Linked DNA regions of Callithrix jacchus. The protein of the gene in region 2 binds, or shares a complex with, the protein of the main gene of each other region. Links are inferred from orthologs where the notes say so. Each region holds a gene or a part of one and is shown on either strand. Other genes may lie near its edges. The genes, in order: PIGY and PIGP.

Region 1 (2,784 bases), on a different chromosome or scaffold from region 2:
CTGTTAAAATAAGATTCCAATAAAAATAAAGTTTGTATTCAGTTTTTAGGTTTCTTTGGGTTAACTACTGAAACACTTACACTATACTTTAAAAGTATTGTTCAATGCTCCATGAGTCTTGTTGAAAGTTCTGGAAAATCAGGAGCTATTCATGTGTTGATGCTCATGCCCGTTGTAGTGTTATTCAGTCTCCTGGGAAAATAAACTGAAATGTGGCTCAAAATGTGGCTGTAAGCTCAAAAGGGTACAAACTACTACTTGCAAGTCTTCGACCCCTCACTTTCCTGGGAAATGATTCTAGAGAGGAAGTACCTCTCTAAACACAGCCTATGTTTAGTGCAGTTTTACAACTTCCCTTTGTATCAATCACACTTCTGTGACCAAACAAATGACTACTGCAAACTGGTTTATTTCATCTTTTATGGTAAAGTGTCAACATCTTTATTGCTAATATAAGCAGTTAATGTCAAAGAAATGAAGGTAATTTTACAAACTTAATTTCTGTTAAGTACCTGAAATTTCTATTTGATGATATGGTTTTATATCACACTTGTTCAAATGCATTTGTCTCCCTTAGAGAGAGTATTTCAACATCACTCCTTTAGAATTATTTCAGTCATTCCTAACATGTGACTTTACCAAAGACCTTAAACTTAACAAACAAGCAAAACAAAATTTCAATAACTTTTAGATGAACAGAATAAGAAATACTCATGACATGACAATTGGGGATGTTCATCTCCAACAAGACACTGTCAAAATGTTTTCTCTGATACAGCAGTTATAAGTCAGAGCCTGCAAAACACAAGGGCAGAGCAAGAGTACAACAAAAGAAGCATCTGCAACTTAAGTCTCCCACAGTCCTAAGCCTGATATACACAAAGCAAAGCCTCTTTCCTGCAAACTTCCATCCAGTTGAGCTTTCAGAGATAGATGCCCAAGAGCTATTATTAATAAATATAGCATATTGACACTAGTTACATCAATTATGCCTGAAGAGTTTAATACCCATCCAAGTCCAAAGGTGGAAGAATACATACACTGGTATGGAAATAGGCAAGAGCAAACTGTAAAAGCAAAGGCTGGCTGTGCTAGTGCAGCCCTGTGGGAAGTTTTCTTCCACAGAGGCCGAGTAGAACAGTCCTGCTAAAGAAACCAGTGGAATAAGAACAGTCAACGTAGGAAGAGACATAAACATTCTTCTCTTCCAATTATTACCCTCCACTATGTTTTAAAAGGTATACGGTATTAAGAAAAGTCAGCTGTTGGGTTTTTTTTATTTTTTTTAATTATGAACTAGCGCTGCTCCAGTTCTTCTTGCTTCTTACTTTGATGCGTCATCCTAGCTGCCTGCGGTATCATATTAGGAATCCCATCAATGATTGGATAAGCTATTCCCAATTCTTCATTAATCAATTCATTTGTTGATGCTTCATATCTGAGGTTGAAAAAAAAAAAGAACAAAATGAATTGTGAAAAATAAAATGCTTGAAGAGCCTGATTTTCAACAAATACCACCATTTATCCAATTCTCGGTATAGAGTTAGTTAATCCCAGAGTAGTCTTCTTCAATTCTAAAAGCAACAATAGCCAATTCAACCTTTTATCTTAAAAAAAATTCTCTTAGAATCTATAATTATTCCCATTTTAGTCGGTTTCTCTCATATTCTCTTTTTCGCCTTATTCACAAGTTATTCCTTAATTTCGTTTTTATAGTAGTCAGAAAAGATCCCCCTCTTACCCAAATATTCCTTCACTACTTCGGTCAACCCTCAAACCATCTCTGTAAATTTACTACTGGAACAAACACTAGAGAAAAATCAACTTCTTCATTTTAGAATAAATGCTAAATAGAGAAACTTAACTAATCCATTAGAAGGAAATAACTGGAAAAGGTGAGAGGGCAGAAATGAGAAAACACTGGAAAGCAGTGAGTCTGCGGTGAGCTAGTTATAAAGGCAAATCAAGTAATTTCAAGGTTTGAGAAAATTGAATAATATTATGGGAAAAAAAGAAATATGAAAAAACTGCTAGCAATCTACCATTCAAAGATAGTCCCTGATAACATTTTGGTGTTTAGTTTATGCGATTTGTAATACTAGTGTTAATGTTGTTGATATTCAATTCTGGTAGCTTGGAAACTGTAGAGCTGTTTTCCCAAAAACTAGGTTAAAGAGGTTTCTACGAAACCTGCTAGTCCACAACTAAGAGCCACTGGGCAGCACACACAGGTGAAATGCTTAAGATTGTCAGGCACCAGTTGTACACGACACCTTCACAAGAATCTGGAGGGTACAACAATACTTTTCATCATCTTGGCTTAAAAACCAGAAGGCTTTGGCCTTGTCCTGAATCGCAGTGGTTCATAAACCTGGTTATACCTTAGAAATCATTTCGGGGTCGTTTAAGAACACACAAATAAGCTGGGAGTGGGGGCGGCGCCTGTATCCCCCAGCTCCTTAGGAGGCTGAAGCCGGAGTTCTAGGCCAGCCTGGGCAACGTAAGGAGCACCCTGTCTCTTAACAGGAAAAAAGAAAAAAAAAAAAATACAAATGTTCAGGTCTCATCCCTCGGACATTCCGAGTCTGCTGGTCTTGGGGGCTGTCGGGGAATCGGCATTTTTAAAACGGTCCCCGGGTGATTGCATTGCGCAGCCGGTGGCGAACCTAAAACGCTTCAAGCCATTCCCGTAGTCTGGCGATGTGGTCGGGCAGATGTGGGACGCGGCTCCCCTGGCCTCCGGTCTCCCGGTCCTGCGGGGCCAGAGTCCAGAAAATGGCAGCG
Region 2 (4,449 bases):
AGTTACAGGGAAATGGCTCCCTCTGGAGGAGTAAAATCTGTAAAATTTCTACCTTGTTTCCCTCGCCATGATATTGGGCAAAACAGAAAGAGATTTAGGTGAATACCATAAAATACTCCATGAACCATTAGATATCATCAAGAACGCCCAAGGATGGCATAGCCCGGTAGGCGTGTGCATATATTTTGAAAGGCCTGTGCAACTGAGAGGCTTTTGGCGTCCAGGGCGCCTCTGGAAAAGGCATGACGCACTGGTACCAACCCAAATTCGCCTACGTCTCAGCTCCATTTTTTATCTTTGATCAGCTTATTCTGTCCTCTGAACAGGCCACACTGACAGCGTCAACACTGCGGAGCAGGGGGCCAGACTCGATCTTGTCCTCCCCCTGCCCGTTAGCGTCTGTCGGGGGAGGATACTCAAAGAGGCGCGGGGGCGAGGGGAGCGCCGGGGTTACCCCCCCCCGCGTCCGTTCCGTGGGAACAGGCCCTGAACTGGACTGCCAGTTCCCACGAAAACAGGTGGCAACAAAGTGGTGAACACACGCACACAGAGCAAGGGGTGCGCATGAACGTTCACGAACACGCACCAGCGAAACCTGCACACAAAAGATACGCACTCGACAGGACTAAACGCGCACACAAGAGATCACGCACTCGACAGGACCCATGCGCAGACACTCTGGGGACACTCGGGGACACGCACCTCGCGCAAGCGAGGCTCTAGGCGGGGGTCGCGATCGCAGGAGGCGCGGCCACGCGCGCTGGGGGACGCGCAGCCCACAGACCAGAGCAGTGACACAAAGGGGGGCCCCCCGCAGAGGCCGAGAGCGCCTACGCAGCCGCCAGGGAGCACGGACACCGACACAAAGGGGGCCACATGGCGACACGCGAGCGTGGGCCCCTGCACCCATAGGGGATGTCAGCCACGCACCGGCCGACGCACGGGCAGGGGAGATGCGCACAAAGGGAGTACTCCCACCCTCGCCCTGGCATCGCAGGGCCTCGCTCGCGAAGGGGGCACCAGACCAAGGGGAAAAACCCACTGGGGCAGGCAATGGCGGCCACACCCCCTCATCTCGCGGGACCCCAGCCCACGCAAACACAGCAGGCACGGCAGCGAGGGACGCGGGGCGACGCGCACACACCCACACTCACCACACACCCACAGAGGGGGTGTGGAAGACCCCGCTCCCCCGGCATCTCGGCTGCAGCAGGACAAGTTGACACATCCGGGAGCCCTGCCGCACGCTGGATGTGCACTCACCGGGGCCCGCCGCCCGCGAGCCTCGACGCGGGCCGGCGCCACCGCCGCAGCCGCCGCCGCCGCCGCCACCTCCGGCCCTCCAAGTCAGCTGACAGCTGGAGGGAGCGAGCGGAGGCGCTAAAGGCAGGTGCGTCACGTGGGCTAGCAGCGCGCAGGCGCAGTAGCGCTGCACCGCCCCCTCCTTCGTCGCCGCGAGCCAAACGGATCCCGCGGGCCCCCGCGCTCTCTGGCTCCTACCCGAGGAGGGTCGTCGTGCGCCTGCGCCAGGGTGGGAGCGCCGTCGCTAGGCCTTTCACTCAGTTTTTTGTCTTTCCGCCCCCACTGCGGCTACCAAGTCGGCGCCTGCGCAGAGATCTCAGCGCTGAGGCGGCAGAGGTGTCGGGCGGGGCCTGGGTGGGCGTATGAAAGACCCCAGGTCGAGGCCCCCGGTATATCCCAGCTCGAAAGAGAAACAGAAGCCCCCATGAGTGGACAGGGCCCGGGGCCTGGGTGCCGTGACCTAGTAGGCCCGCGTGCTCGTGGGCGCCGCGGGAGCGTTGTTCTCCGCTCTCCCCTCCCTTCCCGCGGGAAGGCCACGCTCGCAGAGCTGGAGCGCGCGTCTATTATCCCATTCCCCTCTCCCTGCCCTATCCCGCGCCGCCCCTTCTGCGGGGCACGCGCCAGCCTGGGTCCCTGTGTGCGCGCGAGGTGGGGGCGCGGGTTGCGGGCGGGCACCGTCCCCGCTGCGAAGCGCTGGGGCGAGATTGGCCCACTGGTGCGGAGGAGCACGTCGCTGACGGCTAACTGTGTTCCTTTTCCGCAGATTGTCTAAAGCCCTAGGAAAAATGGTGGAAAATTCACCGTCGCCATTGCCAGAAAGAGCGATTTATGGCTTTGTTCTTTTCTTAGGCTCCCAATTTGTCTTCAGTAAGTACTTTCCCGATGGATGGCCAGGGGCTTTTTCTGGCATTCAGTGACAAGGGAAGAATGCATTGGTTAGACTGTGCACACACCAACTGTTGATTCTTTCTCCCTATGTCTCTTTTTAAGAAAATCAGAAGGGAGCTCGTGTTTGTTGAGTGTTGTACGCCAGCACTAGCCTAGGTGGTTTTAGTCTCTACAAATATTTATACAGCACCAGACACGATGGCAGAGTGAATAAAGCCTGGTCCCTGCCCTGAAGGAGGTAGTGGTCTTGTGGAGGAGACAGATAAGTAAATCTACAGTTAATGCTCAGTGTGACGAGTGTCAGGGGAGCACAGCGGAGAGACATTGAAACCAGACTGGAAAGTCAAGGCTTTCATCCCCCCACCCCCACCCAGACACTGATGCTGAGTAGGAGGGAGGGGAGAAGTGGAAAGGCTGTGAGAGGATTTGGACATGAGGACCTTGATACGGCTCCAGTGTGCCCTGTGGGATCTGAGGAACAAGAGGTGTAGGCCAGAGAAGTTCGGTTGAAAGGTGGATTCTTTGCATCCTGCATCTCCCTTAATCCCCATAACTGTCCATTTAGGGATAAGGAGGGTGACGCTCACTGAGACACTAATATGCCCAGTCACACAAGTGAGTAAGCAAGCCCCAAGTCTCTCCCCAAAAGGATTTGGGAATTATGAGGCACGCAAGAGAGAGGAAATTGAGTGTCCCTGAGCCAACGTTCTGGAACTCTTTGGAAACCAGGAAAGTAGAAGAGGGGTAGTACTTCTGAACCCTAACTGAACTATGTCAGCCTGTACCATCGGTACAACTTGCCGACAATGAAATGGCCAGGCTGTTAGAACTGAAGTGAAAAAGTTACAGCTGAGTTCAAATTCTGACTCCACAGGTGAGCCATGTGAGCTGGCAGCCTCAGGTTCCCTACCTGTAAAAGGTAATGATAATTATGGTTCTTAAATGCTTATGACGCATGAAACAACCCTATGGGGGAGTTTCTGTTGTTATTGTCCTCACTTTAGAGATGAACATACTGGGTTTCAGTAATTTGCCCTAGGTTGCAAAGCTGCTAAATGATAAGCCTCTAAATTTGAACCCAAATACACTGGCTGACTTCACTCTGCTCCCTCTTCTGACTGTTGCTAGGATTAGCGGGTAATTTATGTAAAACACGTAAAACAATGCCTAGAAACAGTTACGTGCTAATAAATGTTAGCTACTCATGTTATTGTTAGCACTTTTGTAAATCCTTGTTTAAAGAGAGTCTCAAAGATTAGAAGCTATATGAGTAAATAAAAGCAATCACTTTAAGACTTAAATTCTGGCCGGGTACAGTGGCTCACGCATGTAATCCCAGCACTTTGGGAGGCTGAGGCCGGCCGGTTACCTGAGGTCAGGAGTTCGAGACCATCCTGACCAACATGGAGAAACCCCGTCTCTACTAAAGTAGCAAAATTAGCCAGGTGTGCTGGCACGTGCCTGTAGTCCCGGCTATTTGGGAGGCTGAGACAGGAGAATTGCTTGAACCTGGGAGGTGGAGGTTGTGGTGAGCCGAGATCTCACCATTGCATTCCACCCTGGGCAACAAGAGTGAAACTTCATCTCAAAAAAAAAAAAAAAAAGACTTAAATTTCATGATATCCACAACCAAAAATTAACTCAAGTATTTATTGAGTGCTTACCATGTGCCAGGCACTGTTACAGGCCAGGAAGGACCAAAACAGTCCAAAATGCCCTGCTTTCATAGAGTCTTTATTCTAACGTTGTGGGGAGGTAGTCAATGGACGAATTAAATAAGAAAAACATACACAGTATCAGGTGCTCACATGTACTGTGGGGAGAAATTAAACAAGGGCAGGAGGACACTGAGTGGAAGGAGGTCCTTCTAATGTGCTTCTGTGTCATCTTTTGCTATTCATGAGCACTCATCACAATGTAGTGAAAATACCAATTTACTCTTGATTCACTACTAGACTTTGAGTTTAGGGAGCCCAGAAGCCACCTGTTTTTGATTCAGTATTGTGCCTCACACTCCTGACATACAGAATTCTGTAATACATATTTGTTAAGAAAAGAATGCATCATCACTGATGTAATAGGTAGGTAAAATTTTTCTCGGCCACTTACCTTGGGTAGGTGATGTATCCTTTCTAAGCTTCCATTTCCTCATCAGTTAAAATTGCATACTTGCCTCGGAGGATTGTCTTGGAGGATTATCTTAAATAATGTGTACAGAATACTTGGAACTGTGCTTAACCTACAGTGAGCTCTCAGAAC

The links.
Region 1: PIGP (region 2) and PIGY share a complex: the UniProt entries of both Homo sapiens proteins name them as parts of the glycosylphosphatidylinositol-N-acetylglucosaminyltransferase (GPI-GnT) complex. The link is inferred for Callithrix jacchus from reciprocal best matches to the Homo sapiens genes PIGP and PIGY.

The regions. Positions count from the first base shown.
Region 1 is NC_133504.1:109,148,137-109,150,920, reverse strand, and holds PIGY (phosphatidylinositol N-acetylglucosaminyltransferase subunit Y), read right to left. Parts: upstream 1,297-2,784; 5' UTR 1,199-1,296; coding exon 983-1,198; 3' UTR 735-982; downstream 1-734. Other genes in the region: PYURF (protein preY, mitochondrial), read right to left, coding at 1,297-1,443. UniProt on the Homo sapiens protein: Part of the glycosylphosphatidylinositol-N-acetylglucosaminyltransferase (GPI-GnT) complex that catalyzes the transfer of N-acetylglucosamine from UDP-N-acetylglucosamine to phosphatidylinositol and participates in the first step of GPI biosynthesis.
Region 2 is NC_133522.1:43,067,278-43,071,726, reverse strand, and holds the start of PIGP (phosphatidylinositol N-acetylglucosaminyltransferase subunit P), read left to right. Parts: upstream 1-1,448; 5' UTR 1,449-1,656; intron 1,657-2,065; 5' UTR 2,066-2,087; coding exon 2,088-2,169; intron 2,170-3,064; coding exon 3,065-3,109; intron 3,110-4,449. UniProt on the Homo sapiens protein: Part of the glycosylphosphatidylinositol-N-acetylglucosaminyltransferase (GPI-GnT) complex that catalyzes the transfer of N-acetylglucosamine from UDP-N-acetylglucosamine to phosphatidylinositol and participates in the first step of GPI biosynthesis.